Struthio camelus: one gene and its partner. The protein of the gene in region 1 binds, or shares a complex with, the protein of each later gene. Links are inferred from orthologs where the notes say so. Each region holds a gene or a part of one and is shown in the gene's direction. Other genes may lie near its edges.

Region 1 (9,808 bases):
ATTTGTCCATCCGTCCCTGTGGCCATCCCTCCATCTGCATATCCATCCATCCCTCTGTCCCCGTGTCTGTCCATCCCTCCCTCCATCCCTGTGTCCATCCATCCCTCCATCCCCGTGTCCATCCATCCCTCTGTCCCCGTGTCCATCCATCCATTCATGTGTCCGTCCATCCATCCCTCCATCCCCGTGTCCATCCATCCCTCTGTCCCCGTGTCCATCCATCCATTCATGTGTCCGTCCATCCATCCCTCCATCCCCGTGCCCATTCATCCCTCCCTCCGTCTCTGTGTCCATCCATCCATCCCTCCATCCCTGTGTCCGTCTGTCCATCCCTCCGTTGCCACGTCTGTCCATCCGTCCCTGTGTCCATCCCTCCATCTGCATATCCATCCATCCCTCTGTCCCCATGTCTGTCCATCCGTCCATGTGTCCATCCATCCGTCCCTCCATCTCCGTGTCCATCCATCCCTTCATCCCCGTGTCCATCCATCCCTCTGTCCCCATGTCCGTCCATCCGTCCCTCCATCCCCGTGTCCATCCATCCCTCTGTCCCCGTGTCTGTCCATCCATCCCCGTGTCCGTCCATCCATCCCTCCATCCCTGTGTCCATCCATCCCTCCATCCCCGTGTCCGTCCATCCATCCATGTGTCCGTCCATCCGTCCATGTGTCCGTCCATCCATCCCTCCATCCCCCGTCCGTCCATCCCTCTGTCCCCATGTCCATCCATCCGTCCATGTGTCCGTCCATCCGTCCCTCCATCCCCGTGTCCGTCCTTCCATCCATGTGTCCGTCCATCCGTCCCTCCGTCCCCACATCTGTCCCTCCTCCCCTCCGTCTCCGGGTCTCTCCGTCCGTCCATCCATCCGTGTCTGTGTCCTTGCCCACCCCATGGTGCATCCATCCATCCATCCATCCGTCCATCCATCCGTGTCTGTGTCCTTGCCCACCCCATGGTGCATCCATCCATCCATCCATCCATCCATCCATCCATCCATCCGGGGCAGGAAAACCCTCCCCTGATCCCCCTCTGTGGGGCCAGTGCATTTCGGGGTGGGACGGCGCCAAATCCCGGCCCCTCTCGCCCTGCAGGTTCCCCGGCCGCCACCGCCGCTCCTTCCTCCTCCTCCTCCTCCTCGGAGCCGCCGCCGATGGACGCGGAGCCGCCGCCGCCGCCGCTGGACATCCCGCTGCTGCTGGAGGAGCTGCGGGTGCTGCAGCAGCGGCAGCTCCACCAGCTGCAGCTCACGGAGGAGATCTGCCGCCAAGTCCTGCTGTTGGGCGCCCCGGCCCCACCTCGGGCCACCCCGACCCTCTTCGCCGCCGCCAAAACCCAACCGCCGCGGGCCCCGGCGTCCGGCCCCCCACCTAAACCCACCTTCTTCCACCTCTACCGCCCGTGGGGGGCCAAAGCCGAAGCGGCCGCCTTCCCGGCGCCGCCGCCGCCGCCGCCGGCCTTCCCGGGTTTGTTGCGTCCCAAGAACGAGGCGGAGGAGAAGCCGGGCGGGCGGCACCGGTGCCGCTTCTGCGCCAAGGCCTTCGGCAGCGACAGCGCCCTGCAGATCCACCTGCGCTCCCACACCGGCGAGCGGCCCTACAAGTGCAACGTCTGCGGCAACCGCTTCACCACCCGCGGCAACCTCAAGGTGCACTTCCACCGCCACCGCGACCGCTACCCCCACGTCCAGATGAACCCCCACCCCGTGCCCGAGCATCTCGACTACCTCCTGGCCGGACCTCGCTGCCCGCCGCCGGAGAAGAGCGAAGCCGGCGAGAAGCCGCCGCCGGTGCCACCACCGGTGCCGCCACCGGTGCCGCCGCCACCACCGGTGGTGGCCACCGAGGGCCTCCCGCTGCTGCCCCAACCCTTGCCGGGCTTCAACAAGCTGGTGCTGCTGAAGGCGGCCGAGGAGAAGGCCAAGGGGGACGAAAACACGCCGCCGGGCAAGCTGCCCGCCTGGGCCGTCTTGGCCAACCACTTCAAGGGCGGCCACCACCACCACCACCACCACCACCACCACCACCACCACGCCGCCGCCTTCCCCTTCCTCCTGGAGCCGCCGGCCCCCTCCGAGACCTCCAAGCTGCAGCAGCTGGTGGAGAAGATCGACCCAACAGAGACGCCGGGGACGGCGGCAGCGGCCGCCCCGCCGCCGCCACCGCCGCCACCGCCGCCGCCGCCGCCGCCGTCCTCTTCCAACCAGTGCCCCGTGTGCCGCCGGGTGCTGAGCTGCCCCCGGGCGCTGCGGCTGCACGCAGGGCAGCACGCCAGCGGCGCCAGCGCCGAGCGCCCTTTCCGCTGCCAGGCCTGCGGCCGGGCTTTCTCCACCCGCGGCAACTTGCGGGCTCATTCGGCCGCCCACCGAGCCAGCCCCACCGCCGCCGCCGCCGCTCGGCCCCGAACCTCCTGCCCCATCTGCCAGAAGAAGTTGGCCGACGGCCCGGGCCTCCAGCACCACGTCCGCCTGCACCTGGGCGGGCAGGTGGCCAACGGTGGCCCGCCGCCCGCCCGCCGGCCCCACGAGTCCTCCGAGGACGAGGAGGAGGAGGAGGACGACGACGACGACGACGAAGACGAGGAGGAGGACGCCTCTGAGGAGGACGCCTCCGAGGAGGATGACTCCGAGAAGGCCCCAGCCGAGGAGGAGGAGGACGAGGAGGACGAGGAGGAGGAGGTGGTGGTGGAAGAGGAGGAGGATGAGGAGGAGGATGAGGAAGGCGGCGCTCCTCGCCGCCCGGCCGGCAGCCCTGCGCCGCCGGCCTCGGAGGGAGCCGGCGAGCCCCAGGTGGAGGAAGGTGGAGCGCGCCGAGGGGACGACGCGCAGCCGGAGGAGCCGCGGGCCAGCCCGGCCGAGGACGGCGCTCCTGACGGGGCCGCGCCGAAGAAGCAGGGGCAGGTAAGGTCCCTAGGGACGCTCCCAGTCCCTCCGTAGGGATGCTGGTGCTCCCTAGGGACGTTCCCAGGCCCTAAGGACACTCCTGGTCCCTCTGTAGGGATGCTGGTGCTCCCTAGGGACACTTCTGGTCCATAGGAACGTTCCTGGTCCCTTCATAGGGATGCTGGTGGTCCCTAAGGACGTTCCTGGTCCATAGGGACGCTCATGGTCCCTCCCTAGGGATGCTGGTGGTCCATAGGGACATTCCCCATCCATAGGGACGCTCATGGTCCCTCCCTAGGGATGCTGGTGGTCCATAGGGACCTTCCCGGTCCATAGGGATGTTCCCAGTCCATGGGGACGTTCCCGGTCCCTGGGGACACTCATCCCTAGGGATGCTGGTGGTCCATGGGGACCTTCCCAGTCCATAGGGATGTTCCCAGTCCATGGGGATGTTCCCGGTCCCTGGGGACGCTCATCCCTAGGGATGCTGGTGGTCCATGGGGACCTTCCCGGTCCATAGGGATGTTCCCAGTCCATGGGGACGTTCCCGGTCCCTGGGGACACTCATCCCTAGGGATGCTGGTGGTCCATGGGGACCTTCCTGGTCCATAGGGATGGTCCCAGACCATGGGGACTTTCCTAGTCCCTAAGGATGTTCCCGGTCCATAGGAATGCCCATGGTCCCTCTCTAGGGATGCTGGTGGTCCATGGGGACCTTCCCGGTCCATGGGAACACTCATGGTCCCTCTCTAGGGATGCTCCTGGTCCATAGAGACATTCCTGGTCCATGGGGACGCTCATGGTCCCTCTCTAGGGACGCTGGTGGTCCATGGGGACGTTCCTAGTCCATGGGGACACTCATGGTCCCTCTCTAGGGACGTTCCTGGTCCATAGAGACGTTCCTGGTCCATGGGGACGCTCATGGTCCCTCTCTAGGGACGCTGGTGGTCCATGGGGATGTTCTCGGTCCATGGGAACACTCATGGTCCCTCTCTAGGGACGCTGGTGGTCCATGGGGACGTTCCTGGTCCATGGGGACGCTCGTGGTCCCTCTCTAGGGACGTTCCTGGTCCATGGGGACATTCCCGGTCCATGGGGACGCTCATGGTCCCTCTCTAGGGACACTGGTGGTCCATGGGGACGTTCTCGGTCCACGGGGACGTTCCCAGTCCGACGGGGACGTTCGGGACGCCGCTTCTTCCCCCCAACCACCTCCTCCCTCGCCTCCTTGCTCTTCCCCCCCCAACCCCCACCGCCCCCCCAACAGGTGCCGCCATGCTGGAGCGGCGGCCCGGCGGCCCGCGCCCCCCGCCCCGCGCCGGGCCCCCAACCGCCGCCGACGCCGCCGAGCCGTGGGGCCGGCAAACCGCCGGAGCTGCCCCCACCGCCACCACCGCCGCCGCCGCCGCCGCCGCCGGCCCTCTCCTTCTGGAGCCAGTACGGCGCCTTCGCGGCCGCCGGCCGCCCCCGACCCGGCCCCCCGGCCCCCGCCGACCCCCCGGCGGCTTCGGGGCAAGGCCCGGCCGAGAAGTAGCGCCTCGACGGGTCCCTTTTTATCTTTTAATCCTAGTTTCGCCTCGACTGTAGCGCACAGGGCGCCCCCTTCGCCTCCCCTCGCCGCCATCTTGACCCCCCTCCTCCGTCTTCCTCCTTTCCCCCAACCCCAGCGTAGCCTCCTCCATTAAAGCCCTTCACGGTGACTCGTCTCCGCTTCTTGTTTTGGGAGGGAGGAGGCGGCGTCGTATTTTGGGGAGGAAAATGGGTTATTTTGGGGGGTGGGGGGGGTTCTCCCGCCTCTCCCCCCCCCCAACAACGCCCTCTGCCAGGGCGTAAGATGGCGGCCCCGCCCGCAACAAAGATGGCCGCGCGCCGTTGCCAGGGCGCCGCCCGCCGCTAAGATGGCCGCGCGCGCCCGCGGCCAAGATGGCGCGCGCGGCTTCGCCGTGAGGGCGGCGCCGCCCGTTGCTAGGACACCGTCCCCCCTCCTCCCTCCTCCCGCGCGGCGTTCTGCTGGCCGCCGTGCCCGCAGCCAAGATGGCGCGCGCGGCTTCGCCGTGAGGGCGGCGCCGCCCGTTGCTAGGACACCGTCCCCCCCCCTCCCTCCTCCCGCGCGGCGTTCTGCTGGCCGCCGTGCCCGCAGCCAAGATGGCGCGCGCGGCTTCAGGGCGCGGCCTAGCGGGCGCCGCTCCGCCCCGCTTCCGGTTCGGCGGCGGCGGCGGCGGGGCCGGGAGCGGGGCCGGGGCCGGGGCCGGGAGCGGAGCCGCAGCCGCAGCCGCCAGCGCCATGTCGGACACGTGGAGCTCGATCCAGGCGCACAAGAAGCAGCTGGACTCGCTGCGGGAGCGGCTCCAGCGGCGGCGGAAGCAGGACCCGCTCGGTGCGGGGCGGGGGGGGGCGCCGGGAGGGGGTCAGAGGGCGTCGGGAGGGGTCAGGGGGCGTCGGGAGGGGTCAAGGGGCATCGCGAGGGGGTCAAGGGGCATCGGGAGGGGTCAAGGGGTGCCAGGAGGGGTCAGGGGGCGTCGGGAGGGGATCAGAGGGCACCAGGAGGGGGTCCAGGGGCACCAGGAGGGGTCAAGGGGTGTTGGGAAGGGTCAAGGGGTGTTGGGAAGGGTCAAGGGGCGTCAGGAGGGGGTCAGAGGGCACCAGGAGGGGGTCAGGGGGCGTCGGGAGGGGTCAAGGGGCGTCGGGAGGGGTCAGAGGGCGTCGGGAGGGGTCAGGGTGCATCGGGAGGGGTCAGGGTGCATCGGGAGGGGGTCAAGGGGCATCGGGAGGGGTCAGAGGGCGTCGGGAGGGGGTCAGGGGGCGTCGGGAGGGGTCAGGGGGCGTCGGGAGGGGTCAGGGGGTGTCGGGAGGGGGTCCAGGGGCACCAGGAGGGGTCGGGGGCGTCGGGAGGGGTCAGAGGGCGTCGGGAGGGGGTCCAGGGGCACCAGGAGGGGGTCCAGGGGCACCAGGAGGGGTCAAGGAGTGTTGGGAAGGGTCAAGGGGCATCAGGAGGGGGTCAGAGGGTGCCGGGAGGGGGTCAGAGGGCACCAGGAGGGGGTCAGGGGGCATCAGGAGGGGTCAAGGGGCGTCGGGAGGGGGTCAGAGGGTGCCGGGAGGGGGTCAGAGGGTACCAGGAGGGGGTCAGGGGGCGTCGGGAGGGGATCAGAGGGCACCAGGAGGGGGTCCAGGGGCACCAGGAGGGGGTCAGGGGGCATCAGGAGGGGTCAAGGGGTGTTGGGAAGGGTCAAGGGGCGTCAGGAGGGGGTCAGAGGGCACCAGGAGGGGGTCAGGGGGCGTCGGGAGGGGTCAAGGGGCGTCGGGAGGGGTCAGAGGGCGTCGGGAGGGGTCAGGGTGCATCGGGAGGGGTCAGGGTGCATCGGGAGGGGGTCAAGGGGCATCGGGAGGGGTCAAGGGGCGTCGGGAGGGGGTCAGGGGGCGTCGGGAGGGGTCAGGGGGCGTCGGGAGGGGGTCCAGGGACACCAGGAGGGGTCGGGGGCGTCGGGAGGGGTCAGAGGGCGTCGGGAGGGGGTCCAGGGGCACCAGGAGGGGGTCCAGGGGCACCAGGAGGGGTCAAGGAGTGTTGGGAAGGGTCAAGGGGCATCAGGAGGGGGTCAGAGGGTGCCGGGAGGGGGTCAGAGGGCACCAGGAGGGGGTCAGGGGGCGTCGGGAGGGGGTCAGGGGGCGTCGGGAGGGGGTCCAGGGGCACCAGGAGGGGTCAGGGGGCGTCGGGAGGGGTCAGGGGGCGTCAGGAGGGGGTCCAGGGGCACCAGGAGGGGGTCCAGGGGCACCAGGAGGGGTCAAGGAGTGTTGGGAAGGGTCAAGGGGCATCAGGAGGGGGTCAGAGGGTGCTGGGAGGGGGTCAGAGGGCACCAGGAGGGGGTCAGGGGGCATCAGGAGGGGTCAGGGGGCGTCGGGAGGGGGTCAGGGGGCATCAGGAGGGGTCAGGGGGCGTCGGGAGGGGGTCAGGGGGCGTCGGGAGGGGGTCAGGGGGCGTCGGGAGGGGTCCAGGGGCGTCGGGAGGGGTCAGAGGGCGTCGGGAGGGGGTCAGGGGGCGTCGGGAGGGGTCAAGGGGCATCAGGAGGGGGTCAGAGGGCATCAGGAGGGGGTCAGAGGGCATCGGGAGGGGGTCAAGGGGCACCAGGAGGAGGTCAGGGGGTGTCGGGAGGGGTCAGAGGGTGCCAGGAGGGGGTCAGAGGGCATCGGGAGGGGTCAGAGGGCATCGGGAGGGGGTCAGAGGGCATCGGGAGGGGGTCAGAGGGCATCGGGAGGTGGTCAAGGGGCATCGGGAGGGGTCAGGGGCACCAGGAGGAGGTCAGGGGGTGTCGGGAGGGGTCAGAGGGCATCGGGAGGGGGTCCAGGGGCACCAGGAGGAGGTCAGGGGGTGTCGGGAGGGGTCAGAGGGCATCGGGAGGGGGTCAAGGGGCGTCAGGAGGGGGTCAAGGGACGTCAGGAGGGGTCAGAGGGTGCCAGGGCGGTGGAGGGGGGGGTGGGAGGAGGAGGAAGGAGCCTCGTCCCTCCGATCCCGACCCCCCTCGGCCCCCAGACCCCCGTCACCCGGAGCTGGCGCTGGCCCCTCCGTCCCGCAGCGCCAGCCCGGCCCCCGTCGCCCCCGCGGCGGCGGCGGCCGGAGGTGTCGGAGGAGCGGCCGGCGGAGGAGGAGGAGGAGCAGGAGCGGCGGCCGGCGGCGGCGGAGCGGCCGAGCTGACCACCGACCCGGCGCTGGAGCGGCGGCTGCTGCGGCACCTGGCCGACCTGGCGCTGCCGCTGCCCACCGACGCGCTGGCCATCTGCCGCGCCATCGCCACGGTACGGCCGCCTCCTCCTCCTCCGGCCCCCTTGCCGGATTTCCCGCCGCCGCCGCCGCTCTCAACGCCCGCTCTGTCTCGCCCCGCAGCCCGACGCGCCGGCCGCGCAGCGCAGCGTGGAGAGCCTGCTGCAGAAATTCGCCGCCCAGGAGCTCATCGAGGTGCGCCGCGGGCTGCTGCACGAGGAAGCCGCTCAACCCACCCTCGTCACCTACGCCGACCACGCCAAGCTCTCGGCCATGACCGGCGCCGTGGCCGAACGCAAGCGGCGGCCCCAAGCCGACGCCGCCGACGGCTCCGCCGCCCCCGCCGCCCCCGCCGCCGAAACCGGCAAGGAACCGGCTAAGAAGTGGCGCAAGCAGGCCTCCGACGTCGACCGGGAGATCGAGAGCTTGCTCAGCCAGCAGTCCACCAAGGAGCAGCAGAGCAAGAAGGTAGCGGCGCCCCCCCAAATCGCACCCGGCGCTCGCTTTTCCCCCCCAAGAGGCACCTGGTGTTCACCTTTGTGCCCCGAAAGGCTCCTGGCTTTCGCTTTTTCCCCCTAAAAGGCGCCCGGTGCTCACTTTTCGCCCCGAAAAAGCACCCAGCGCTCGCTTTCCCCCCCCCAAAAGGTGCCTGGCTTTCGCCTTCATGCTGCAAAAGGAACCTGGTGCTCGCTTTTCCCCCCAAAAGGCACCCAGCTTTTACCTTTGTGCCCCGAAAGGCTCCTGGCTTTCACTTTTTCCCCCTGAAAGGCACCTGGCTTTCGCCTTCGTGCCTCAAAAGGCGCCCGATGTTCGCTTTTTCCCCCCAAAAGGTGCCCGGCTTTCGCCTTCGTGCCCGAAAAGGCGCCTGGCGCTCCTTTTTCCCCCACAAAAAGGCTCCTGGCTTTCACTTTTTCCCCCTAAAAGGCACCTGGCATTTGTCTTTGTGCCCCGAAAGGCACCTGGTGCTCGCTTTTTCCCCCCAAAAGGCGCCCGGCGTTCACCTTCGTGCCCGAAAAGGCGCCCAGCGCTCGCTTTTTCCCCCCCGAAAGGCACCCAATGTTCGCTTTTTTCCCCCCGAAAGGCGCCCGGCGTTCGCCTTCGTGCCCCGAAAGGCGCCCGGCGCCCGCCCTCGCCCCCGCCGAAGGGTTTCGGCCCGGGCGTTTGCCCCGCTCTCCCCAGGTGAGCCAGGAGATCCTGGAGCTGCTCAACACCACCACGGCCAAGGAGCAGTCCATCGTGGAGAAGTTTCGCTCGCGGGGCCGGGCCCAGGTGCAGGAGTTCTGCGACTACGGCACCAAGGAGGAGTGCATGAAGGCCACCGACGCCGAGCGGCCCTGCCGCAAGCTCCATTTCCGGTGCGTCCTTCCTTCCTTCCTTTTTCCTCCTTTCCTTCCCCGTTTCCAGCCTCGTCCCGCCTCCGCGCCTTTATTTTTTTGGGGGTTGCTTCCCTCCTCGCCGCCGCCAGGCGCATCATCAACAAGCACACGGACGAGTCGCTGGGCGACTGCTCCTTCCTCAACACCTGCTTCCACATGGACACCTGCAAGTACGTCCACTACGAGATCGACGCCTGCTGCGACGCCGGAGCGCCCGGCGGCCGCGAGCGCAACCCCGGCCAGGAGCTGGCTTTGCCCCAGGCCGTCGGCGGCGACGCCAGCGTCGACCGCCTCTTCCCGCCGCAGGTAGGGCTTCCCGGCCGGGGCGGGAAGCGAAGGCGCTCGAACCGCTCCGTGTTTGTTTCGTTTTCTTTCCTTTTCCAGTGGATCTGCTGCGACATCCGCTACCTGGACGTCAGCATCCTGGGCAAATTCGCCGTGGTCATGGCCGACCCGCCTTGGGACATCCACATGGAGCTGCCTTACGGCACGCTGACCGACGACGAGATGCGGCGCCTCAACATCCCCGTGCTGCAGGACGAAGGCTTCCTCTTCCTCTGGGTCACCGGACGGTGAGCGAGGCATTAAAACCAAAAACCCCCGCTTCGTTCCGAAAACCTCCTTTCCGACCCCGGCACCTCTCGCAATCTCTTTTTCTCCCCCCGCCACCCTCTTTTTTTTTTACTCCCCCGGCAGAGCCATGGAGCTGGGACGCGAATGCCTCAACCTCTGGGGGTGAGTTTCGCCCCTCTTCCCCCGTCCCTCCTCTTCCTCGCCGCCGGCGGCCTCGGCACCCGCCGC
Region 2 (10,504 bases), on another chromosome or scaffold:
GTGTAAGGAGATGCAGCTTCTCTTCCTCCGCACTGATACCATCTTGTATCCTTCCATGCTGTGCAGTGAGAAGAAGTTGGTGCACTCCTCTTGTCACTAAGTGAAGGCATAATGTTACTCGCTTCCTCATCAGTGTTGCCAGTTGATCTGCACCTGAACAGGAACGCTCACAGTACTAAAATAGAAAAAAATACCAGCGTGTTTCCAGGATTAAGACCCAAGTTTGAAGCAGAAATGAGCCTTCTTCATATTTTAGGGAATTGGCCCTTTGCAGTAGAGTATAGTGTTTGTGATACTTAAATTTATGTCAAATAATTTGCCCACATTTGGGGCAGAGTCTGTCACTAACAGTGAGAAGAATATCCTCCTTTTCTGAATTTCTCTTGGTTTTTGTTCTTTGCCAGCTGCATGGGACACACTTGATACTTGCAGCAGTGTACATTGAAACCAATGTCTTCAAAGGCAAGAGTCAACCTTTGTCACAGTAAGTCATATTATATAAAACACCTCGTAATACTTGATACTTCTGGGGTCCATAGTTTTCATCGGAGTGCCTTATTCACAGATTTAGGACTTGAAGATACATTCGTCCTTTAGATAACATGTTCTGTGCTTGGTCTGTGTTTGAAATTATTTTTATCCTTGACAGGCAATGGGAATTGTCCTGTTGCTGGTTTAAGCAAAAAGCAGTTTTGTGGGTTTTGACAAAGGGAAAGCAAACCCACCCTTTTACTCCTTAAAAAAATTACATCAGCTACAGAAATAAATAAGCTTGACAGCTGGCATCATTTCACGAGAATCTGAGCCTTTTGTTCTTTTGGGAAAGATCTAAAGAAGCTTTTTCCCTTCTCCACATACTTCACCTAATTTGGCATCATATCAGGATGTATATGGCATTCTGGCTTGCGGAGCACCTTTAGTACCTTAAGGCCTAGAAGGGTCTCAGGTCTAGAAAGACCATTCATTCTTTTTCCTGGCTTTTTCACTAATGGGCTGACATCCAGCTGTCTACAGATAGGATCGGTACATAAGATACACCCCAAAGAACAAACTGTTTTCGTAGGGGGAGGAGATTTCCATTTTCTAAAATTCCTAAAGCCCAAATGCTGACCTGATTGGATGACTCCCTGGAAGTAAAGTTCCTGATAGGCAAAAATGTCCTTGGCTGTCTTAAGAGCAGTCTGTGTCTTCCTTGAATCTATTTTTGTCAGGAAAACTCATAATTTAAGAAGTGTTTAATAAAAATTGCTGACTTCCCCTTAGATAGAAAATGTTTGCATACTAAAACTGTTATGGCTTTATTGTGACTTAAGAAATAGGCATAGTAAACCCCTGTTTCTATATGCATATATGCACTTCAAATGCAAGCTTACGGTGTTTATCCTGTATCTCCAAAATGAGTTTAACTCAAATCACCAGTTGACTGTAATTGAATTTTAATTGATTGTATGTAATTCAGGGTGTGTCTCCAGGAAAGCCTCTGAAATGTACACATTGCTATAGTCAGCCCTCTTAACAGGAAAAAACTTCCTGAGCGTTATATTCTACATCACAATTCACAGGTGTACAGTGTCATCACATGTGCTGCAGTCTTGGAGACAAGTGTTGTAAATCTATTTGGCTCTGTAGATAGTAGAGTTGCACATGATTATACTATTGATTTTATATGCTCTCATGAGCACCTATGTATATTTATAAACAGTTATCGGTAATTAAAAGAGGAGTCTTTATGGGAGCTGTCTGAAGAAAATCTAGCTACCTCTCGCTTTAGAAATGGAACAAAAATGTGCAATAATTCCAGTAAGATGCTTAGAAATGTCTTGTCAGATGATGTAAAGAAAGCCTGCAGCCTACTAGTTAGAAAGCTTTTTTTTTTTTTTTTTGGAGAGCGAGAGTGCATTGAACTTAAAATTGGGCTTGTTGCTGTCCAGATTTTCACGTGGTAGTTACCCGAAGGATATCTCTGTCATTTTTTTCAGTACAGCAATCCATATATTTTATTTGCCCACCGCATCTGTAGGCTACAGCAGCCTTTTCCAGTGCCCTTGGAGCTCAGTTTCTGTTCCAGTTGCAAACCACTATTTTGCCTTCCTCCATCTTACATCCGTACAAGTCAAGGACTATCTTTTCAGAAGCTGATTAGCCTTTAGTTCCTTTTATTTTAAGATCTTTTAAAATGCTAACAAATGTTCATAACAGTACTCCAAACATTTTTTTCTTCTGAACAGTTTTTTATCTGACTTTATTTCTTACTAATATCCTAGCTTTTCTGATCTGCAGACTGTAGTTGTCATCTCTTACAATTTATTTTATGTGACTTTTATGCTATTAAATATTTGTCCTTAAAGCCCTGTTTCCCATGACATAGTATTTCATCCACATCTCAACTTTGAATCATGAAAATGCAGGGGAAAAATAGCCCTTATGATCCTGTAGAAAAGCTTGGAGGCCTGAAACAAATTTGTCTTTAAGGCTCACACAGCCTAAGACAGTAGAGAGTATTAAAATTCAGTGCGTTTGTATTTCAAACAGTTGTGTGATTTCTAATCTGGCTTGAGGGTTTAGAGATATAATGCATGAATTCTGGTTACTTCACGCTAGTGGTACTGTCTTGATCTTGCTTGGGTTGGGACCATCCTGTTGTAAAGCCGTCCGAGATAAGCAATGGCAAGAAAACTGTGCTGCCTGCAAAGCTCAGCAGCTCCTCCTCTGACTCCTTACAAAGCTTCATAGCCACAACACATACCAAGTGCTTCAGTTAAAACAGGGCTTCAGCTCTGCCAACTGTGTGTCAGCTGCTGGCTACCCAAAGAACTTGGGACATCCAGTAAGCACAGGAGAGGGCAGTATTAGTCCAAGTGAAGGCATGAAGAGGACAAACTATTAACAGAAAAAATAAGCCAAAATGTAATAAAGAGCATTTTTTCCGAGTTTAAAACTATTCTGTCACTGACATCTTTTTTTTTTTTTTTTTTTTTTTTTTTACATTTATGGAGTGTTTTAATGTTTTGTTCCAACTGGCTGTAACATGAAACAAGAAATCAAGAACAGAGCAGGTAAGAACCATTACAAGCCACAAGCCTTCCAGCAGGAAAATAATTAGGTTAGTGAACTACATGTTGTCTTTTGAAGAACCTAAAACCAGATGAGACAATATGAACAGATCTGAAACAAAACCAAAAACTCTATTGTTATTAGTATCTGCTGAGCAGGCCCTAGACTTGAAAACAGAGCTAGAAAAAGTGTGGAAAGTTATGGAGGAATACAGGGGTGTTACTCTAATGCCAAATGGCATTCTTGTCAATACAGTTTTCTTCTTTCTTTAATCCAATTTTATATCAAAGTCAAATGTAGAAGAGAGTCCGCAACAATAAAATACAATTCCTATGATCTCTTCTTAAACAATAGGAGATACAAATACAATATGCTTTGTGGAAGTACAGTGGTTATTTTCATCTTAAATGCATTTATTTCTCGTGTTTAATTTATGGAAAGCTGTATTGTCCAGGTGTTCATAATCTGGTTCATATTTCAACTTAGCAGTATATATATTTGTTGTGCTATTTTCTGAATTCTGTTTTTTCACTGGTTTTCGGACAGATATGCTTATTTGCCCTCTCATTTGTGGACAAGCAATGCTATTAAGAGCTGTGTTAGTACCTATTATTTGAAAAGGAAATTTATTCCGGTTATTATATTGTCACATAACCCAATGCAGGTGCTTATTAAGGTGTTTATTCTAGGAGCATTAAAATATACCAACTGAGACAGTTCTCATTGTGTTAGGTGCCGTGCAAGCAGAATAAGAGACTATTTCAGTGAAATGTGCTCTATCAGGGTACTAGTTAACAATTTGCTGTTTGTATTTTCTCACATAAAAATTTTAAGTATAGCTGATAATACACATGGTAATTCTAAGGGCTAGAAGGAAGGCCAGAATATAAAGCTCTACAGTCTGTATCCACTTATCTCTTGGTGTTTCTGGCTCTGTGCCGTTTGCTCAGCTAGTACGTTTCCCATAAATGTAATCTACACTTGTAAAACTAAATTTAAAATAACTAAGTGCTGACAAGGGAAAAGAATGCAGGATTATTTTCTACATGCTTATGACCTGGAAGAACAACAGGTACCAATGGTAAGTGTAAGGTCCGGTATCTCTTGACCCATCAGAGTTAGAACTTTACATATACTGTTAAAGATTAAAGACTGAAGAGAGATCCATTTTCCCAACATAACAAAAAAGTAGCTAAACTCTAGCCTTGGCAAATGTTGGGAGATCTTGTGTTCAATTTGTGATACCTAGAAAACATTAGGTAATTTATATACAGAATAGAAATGGCCTTAAGTACATCTCTGTATCTCTTTTGTATGTAAAAAAGTTTCCGTTTCTTGTCCTACTTGGCTTACGTGCATTTTAGTGTTGTAATGTTTACATTTGTGCATGAGCAAATAAAATCAATTTTCTACATTAATGTTCGCAGTAAGGACTATTCTGGTATATTGACACCTCTCCCATGCTGCTGTCTCTTGAGATGGCTTTATCTGTTAATTAGTGTCTTTAGTGCTTAAAAGAAGTACCTGCAAGGTGTCTGTGTACAAAAAAACAGTGAAAGGAGCAGTGAACCTCAAACTGTAATCACAGTGCGTATTTTTCACGTAAAAAAATAAGACTTCAGAGGAACGTACTCAAGCCCTTTTGATTTCACTCTCCTTGTGGTAATTAGTCACATCATTCTCTTTTTTTAATTTCAAGCGACAACAGTCAGGTCACTTAAAGCTTGGTCAGGGTGTTAATTTTTTTTTCAGCGAGAGCTTTTTTTTTTTTTTTAAATCTGTGCTGTGTGGATCTGCACCTCTGTACACTGGAATCTCTTGTGCAGTGAATATATTATTCTTGCTATCAGTAGCACAGTCAAGAAGACAGATTTCTGGAGTGTCTTCCACAGAAATTCAGTTGCAATCAATCACATCGTGCAACCCAGCTGACACTAATTTAGCCTACAGAAGCTTTATTACTTTGTTGGCAAGAAGGGAACACATCTAATTGTGCTAATAGCATTGCTTGAGAAATCATGGATAACAAGACAGAAATTCGATTTTAAAGTAGTTGTTCAGTGCTAGACTACAATTAAGGGCAATCAGTATGTTTCATTCTATTTTTTCCCCAAATGTTAAAGCTAAAGTTTAGCGTATTTGGAAACAGCTAGGATTTTTTTTCCCTCATTTGCTGACTGATGACGTTAATGTGCGCTTATGCCACTGAGGTGAATTTAACTGAGTGAAAATTTTCATTGCACAACGTGAAAGACAGGCAGAAAGCCGCGGAACTAATGCTGACAAGCAAGGTGCCCATCTTGCAGACTAACCACTGGCTGTGCCTGGCTGTGCGCAATCCTCGTTTTCAAAAGCCGCTGTCTTTTCAGCGTGTCTTCCAAGAAGGCGCCAAGCAGCGCTCCCACGGCGCCGCCCAGAAGGAGCAGCCCCGCGGCAGCAGCTCCCTGTCGGCCCTGGCGGACGCCCTGTTTCACGCGTGAGGCCGCGGGGAGGCGCTCGGTGCCGCTGCCCTCAGCCCTCGCGCCGGCAGGCGGCCGCTTCCCCCCGCCTGGCCCGCCCCCAGGATGCCCCGCGGCTCGCTACCCGCCGCGCGCCCGCCCCTCCCTTCTGCCCGTTTAACTGACAGGCTTTAAATCAACATTCAAATAAGGAGGGAAACCGCGGCGCGGGGACGGAAGGAGCATCTCAGTGCTGCCTGCCGCTGGGGAGAGAGCGGGGGACGAGCTCCCCAAAGGAGGCGCGGCGGCGGCCGGCAGAGCCGGACCGGGCGGCTCGGCCACCCCGCGGCCCGGGCCACTGCGGCGGCTCGCGCCGCGCGGGGCTGCGCGCGCAGCGCCGCCGCCTGAACGTGGGGGGCGGCCGGTGGGCGGGGCGGCTGGGCGCTCATTTCCTCCTTGGGCGCCATTTTGTAGCGCAGAGAATCCGCAAATAAAGAGCGGGCGGGAGCGGTACGTGAGGAAGCGCGGGGTGGGGGCACGCGGTGGTGACCCCGGCTCCGGAGCAGTGGTCCCGGTAGAGCCGGTTGCGGGCGCGCGCGCGGAGGTGGCGGCAGGTGTGAGGAGGTGGCGGCGCTTCGCCCCCGATGTGACGGGTGCGGCCCAGGCAACCAGTGTGCTGGGAGAGTGAGGCCTCCGCACCGCGGGCGGGAGGTGAGTGACCGCGCGAGCGCTCCTCCCCTCGGCCGGGCTCCCCCTTTCTCTGGTACCGCCGCCCTTCTCCCCCGCAGGAGGTAGCGGGGCCCTCGGCAGGGACCGAGCACCTCGCGGTCCCGGGGCGACCAACCCCGGCGGCTCCATCTCTCACCCCAAGTGGGGGGAGGAGCGGAAGCACTTAGAGCCATTTTGTGCGAGGCCGCGAGCCCGGCCTGGCTGCTCCGCTGAGATCCTCCTCCCCTAGCCTTCGGCTCCGCCACGCCCGGGCGCCGCCGCCGCCGCCGGGGCTCCCTCTGGGCGAGGGAGACGCGTTTTTTCTTTTTTTCCTTTTTTCTTTTTTTCCCCCCCTTCAGTTGAAGCTGAACGAGGACGGCCCGACGGGGCGGGTAGTGCCTGCCCTGCCAGAAGGGGGGAGGGGAAGGGGGTGGCAGGGTCTGTCAAACGTCTGTGACGAGCCGTGGGGTCAGTGGCCTGCAGCTGCGCCTGGCCGGGGACTGGCGGGGTCTCCGCGCAGGAGGCGGGGCTGCGCGGCAGCGGCCCGCCGTTGGGTTGGGAGGGGGTGCGGCCGCAGGACTCGGCTACGCGAGGCTCCTGACCGCGGTCGCTGAGGCTAGCGTGGAAACTTTCATAGGCCGGCATCTTACTCTGAACCTTTTTGTTTCGGGACACTTGAAGGCCTCGAGGGCTTTTCCCACGGTATGCTTTTTCATATCGTTGAAATAACTAGGAGTTACTTCAACTGTTGCTAGTAAAGCAGCACTTGAGTTATGTCTGGTATTACTTGATTGCCTTGTCTCTTAGCTCGTAGTGCTTGTTTTAATCTTTAAACTTTATGTTTTCTAAATGTTGTAGTAAAAGTTGCACAGAAAACTACAGTTTCTGAAATTAAAACGCACTTTCCCTGTTTCAGCCCTTTCATAGTTCAATTACTTTAGAGATTACAGGAGAATTCTTTTAGTGTCTATGATGGCCCCTTTTTAAGGGTGAAACACAGGTTTATATTGCTTATTGCCAGGAACGGATGTAGAAGTTGTGGAGTTTAACAGGTATCACTGCTCTGAAATCCTGAAAGTGCCTACTGAGGATAGCACAGGCTAAATTATTCATTGTATTAATTGAGAAGTGTAATCATGATAATTCCAGTCAGAAAATGGCAGTTCATCCTATTCTTGCAAAATATTACTGAACTGCTTAGCACAAGGGTCATCTGTCTTTCAGAGTAGGCACGTGGTGAGATGCATCTCTTGCTGCACAGCACTCCACATTACTCTATTAGACTCAATGAATGAATGTTTGAGTTGTAATAATATTGTTAATGTCTGTTGCATAACTTATCTGGTAAGCACAGAAAGAACTGAAGCAAATCACTGTGACAGCTAAGTGATACAGTAAGCCTGATGTTCTGATGCTTCCAAAAACACTGAGCACAGTGATAGAAATACAACCTATAGCAATAATGAACTCTTAAGCTGTTTGTAAGTTACTGTGGGTGCCAAAAAAAAAGCTGTTGCGTAGGAGTCATGAGGTGAAACTTGCACATACAAAAAGAACATGATCACTTAGCTGTCATAGTAAGAAGTTCAGATGTGATAAACCTAGGTTTCCAAAATAATACCTTACTAAAAATTTTCAGGGTATTTTTTAGTGAACAATTCTAGTCCTACAAGTGAAAGCAGGTGACAGTAAAACAATAACTTATGTAATGCAGTGGACTTTTTATCTTCAGCATGTGCATTAAAGGATTTTATCAGATAGCAGGGAGATGGCTTTGTTTTGTAAGTGGGAACGTGTTGGGCCTAGAGGTTAGAAGGGTAGTCTGGTTTGGTGCTGCCATGAGAAAACTGGTTGTGGGAGTCTTATGCTAGGTCTGGAGACGGGCAATAAGGATGGAGCATCAGCTTTTAATTTCTTTCGGTTGCTGTTGCAGTGGCACTCAAGTGTTTAGTTTGCTGTATACTGCTGAAGGGTTCACAAGCCAAGTCTTTGGAAAATTCATCTTTTTTGATACCTGTGTGTTCCTACTGTTTTTCTGACACATGATAATATCTGTTAGGTATGATTTAATCTAAGTGTATTTCCATGGGACATTTGAAAGGCAGATCTCTCTGTTAAGGACTTGAATCCTGCTGAAATCTTCAAAACTCCTTCCAAATACTGAAGGAGTTAAGTGTCTGAAAATCTTTAAGAAAATTGTAATGGGGAAGTAGGCCATTAAATTTAGGGGGCTGTGAGCATTTCCCCATATGATCTTAGTCATCCAAAATATCAGTTTAACTTGAGTTGAGCATCATTGGTTTGTATCGATAGTCTCTAATACATTTCATATTGCATTTAGTAAAAGTATAAAAGTCTTAAGTGGGAAGCTGCATCCAGAAGTTAAAGTTCTCTCATGTGTGAGAGAGTTGATGGTGGGGGGCCCTAGACCTCTTAGAGTAGAGAATCACTGAAGTGCCTGTGTGTTATGAAGATTAGGAACAGGAAGCTGACATTGGTCATAGATGCCTGTATTGAGTGTTATTAGCAACTTTTCTGTTCGTTCTAATGTCCCCCTTTACTTTATGAAGGGCTTGGAAGCCATTTCACCTGTGCACTGTAGGTGTTTAGTTGTTATTGTAGTTTTATTTGGTATAGTGCTATATACTGAATGTTAATATAGGTTGAAGGAGCTGTTGTTCACTTGGTATGCATTTATCTTTTTGACAGTGCTGATGCCCTTAGGTTTTAAAGAACTTTAATTAGTTTATTGGGTGATTTTTTTTTTTTTTGTGAAAATACCAAGAACTTTCTGGTATTTTCACAAAAGCACCCAATAAACTAATTAAAGTTGCGTGGGGTTTCTTTCCCCTCCAGCAATCACTTTTAAACAACTTAAATGCATTGTATTTGTGAAGCTAACTGTTTACAAGTGAGGAACTGGCTACATCTGTTTTCTGGTGTATTTACATGGCAAAAATCTTTTAAGCTTACAAAAGCTCAATGTTATGTACAGCTCTTCTGTTGGAAGGCATATTGCAAAAGATGCATGGCTCCAGCAAAGCTTGCCTTTGTTTCTTTTATGATCTTTGCGGGCTCTTTTTTAATAATCATAGTAATAGAAAATGTTTTCTGTCCTTTTGAAGTAAGGAAGCAAGTCCTGTAATACAAGGAATTGGGACTAATTAACATAAGCGTAATAGGGTTGTGTTGTGCTATCAACAGACAAGAGGAGTTGTATTTGATGGTGTGCTCAAGCCATTTGTTTTTTCTTTTCCTAAAGATAACCTAAAGGGTTTTAAAATAACTGCTTGACACTTTGTTTATCAAAATCTTAAAAGTAAGAGGATAAGTAGTTGGAAGAGCTTGCTGTCTTGACATTCCCTAAATATTAGTGGTAATGTTTCCAAATCATTTGCTTTTATTTCAAAGAGATAAACACTGAAACCACTGAAATAGTGGTATAAATTACTTTCTTCAAGTCCTAATTATGCTCTGCCTTGTGTATATGTTGAAAAAATTCAGTAGTTGTAGACAGATATCAAATGTCAGTTTGATCTAAAAACAAATATAGACAAAGTTAGATGGTTTCACCTTAAATAAGGAAGAGTTGATTGTTGATATTCTTTCAGACACCAAAAGAGCACTTTGGGTAGTTTTTACAAAGGTGTCTGATGACTTTGTGTCTAGATTACAATTGCAAAGTTGTCGTAGAGTTGCTTTGTACTCTGCATTGTATGGTACCAACATTTCAGTAATCTATTATCACTAATAAATAAAAACTTAAGGAAGAAGTAAAGTGACTTGCTGCATGCTTTATGGACCCTAGTAATGGCATTAAATAAAACTCCTTTTTTTCCTCCCCTCCCCCTTTCAGAGTTCACAATGACGAATGAAGAACCTCTCCCGAAGAAGGTATGTTTAAAAATACTTACTGGATTTTTTTTTTCCCCCTGTAGTCATGACAAGCTGTTAAGTTAACTTCTCCTTTTGCTCCATAGGTTCGTCTTAGTGAAGCAGACTTTAAGGTTTTGCCTAGAGATGAGCTAATCCTAAGGTAAAGTAACAAGCAGTTTTTCCATTGCAACATTTTAGTGAATTCTTAATGGAAAACATGTAACCTCTCCACACCGCCTGTCCCCCATTGCTTATAGCATCCTTGTTCTGATAACCTGTTCCATCCTTTTCATCATACAACTCTTCTGTAAAATTCTCCTTGTCTCAAATATTTTAAGAGTTGAGGACAAGTGCTTTTCTGAAGGAAACAAATCCTGGGCAGTGTTTTCTAATCCATGGGTAGAAATTGATTACTATTTTTTTTTTTT

Evidence for each region.
Region 2: METTL3 (region 1) and WTAP share a complex: the UniProt entries of both Homo sapiens proteins name them as parts of the WMM complex. The link is inferred for Struthio camelus from reciprocal best matches to the Homo sapiens genes METTL3 and WTAP.

Annotation. Positions count from the first base shown.
Region 1 is NC_090970.1:82,621-92,428, reverse strand, and holds the start of METTL3 (N6-adenosine-methyltransferase catalytic subunit), read left to right. Parts: upstream 1-5,091; 5' UTR 5,092-5,161; coding exon 5,162-5,255; intron 5,256-7,403; coding exon 7,404-7,666; intron 7,667-7,754; coding exon 7,755-8,099; intron 8,100-8,810; coding exon 8,811-8,986; intron 8,987-9,096; coding exon 9,097-9,313; intron 9,314-9,391; coding exon 9,392-9,579; intron 9,580-9,703; coding exon 9,704-9,742; intron 9,743-9,808. Other genes in the region: SALL2 (sal-like protein 2), read left to right, coding at 1,092-2,896, 4,146-4,412. UniProt on the Homo sapiens protein: The METTL3-METTL14 heterodimer forms a N6-methyltransferase complex that methylates adenosine residues at the N(6) position of some RNAs and regulates various processes such as the circadian clock, differentiation of embryonic and hematopoietic stem cells, cortical neurogenesis, response to DNA damage, differentiation of T-cells and primary miRNA processing.
Region 2 is NC_090944.1:85,122,019-85,132,522, reverse strand, and holds the start of WTAP (pre-mRNA-splicing regulator WTAP), read left to right. Parts: upstream 1-5,902; 5' UTR 5,903-6,203; intron 6,204-6,727; exon of another isoform or gene 6,728-6,902; intron 6,903-10,056; 5' UTR 10,057-10,064; coding exon 10,065-10,094; intron 10,095-10,180; coding exon 10,181-10,236; intron 10,237-10,504. UniProt on the Homo sapiens protein: Associated component of the WMM complex, a complex that mediates N6-methyladenosine (m6A) methylation of RNAs, a modification that plays a role in the efficiency of mRNA splicing and RNA processing.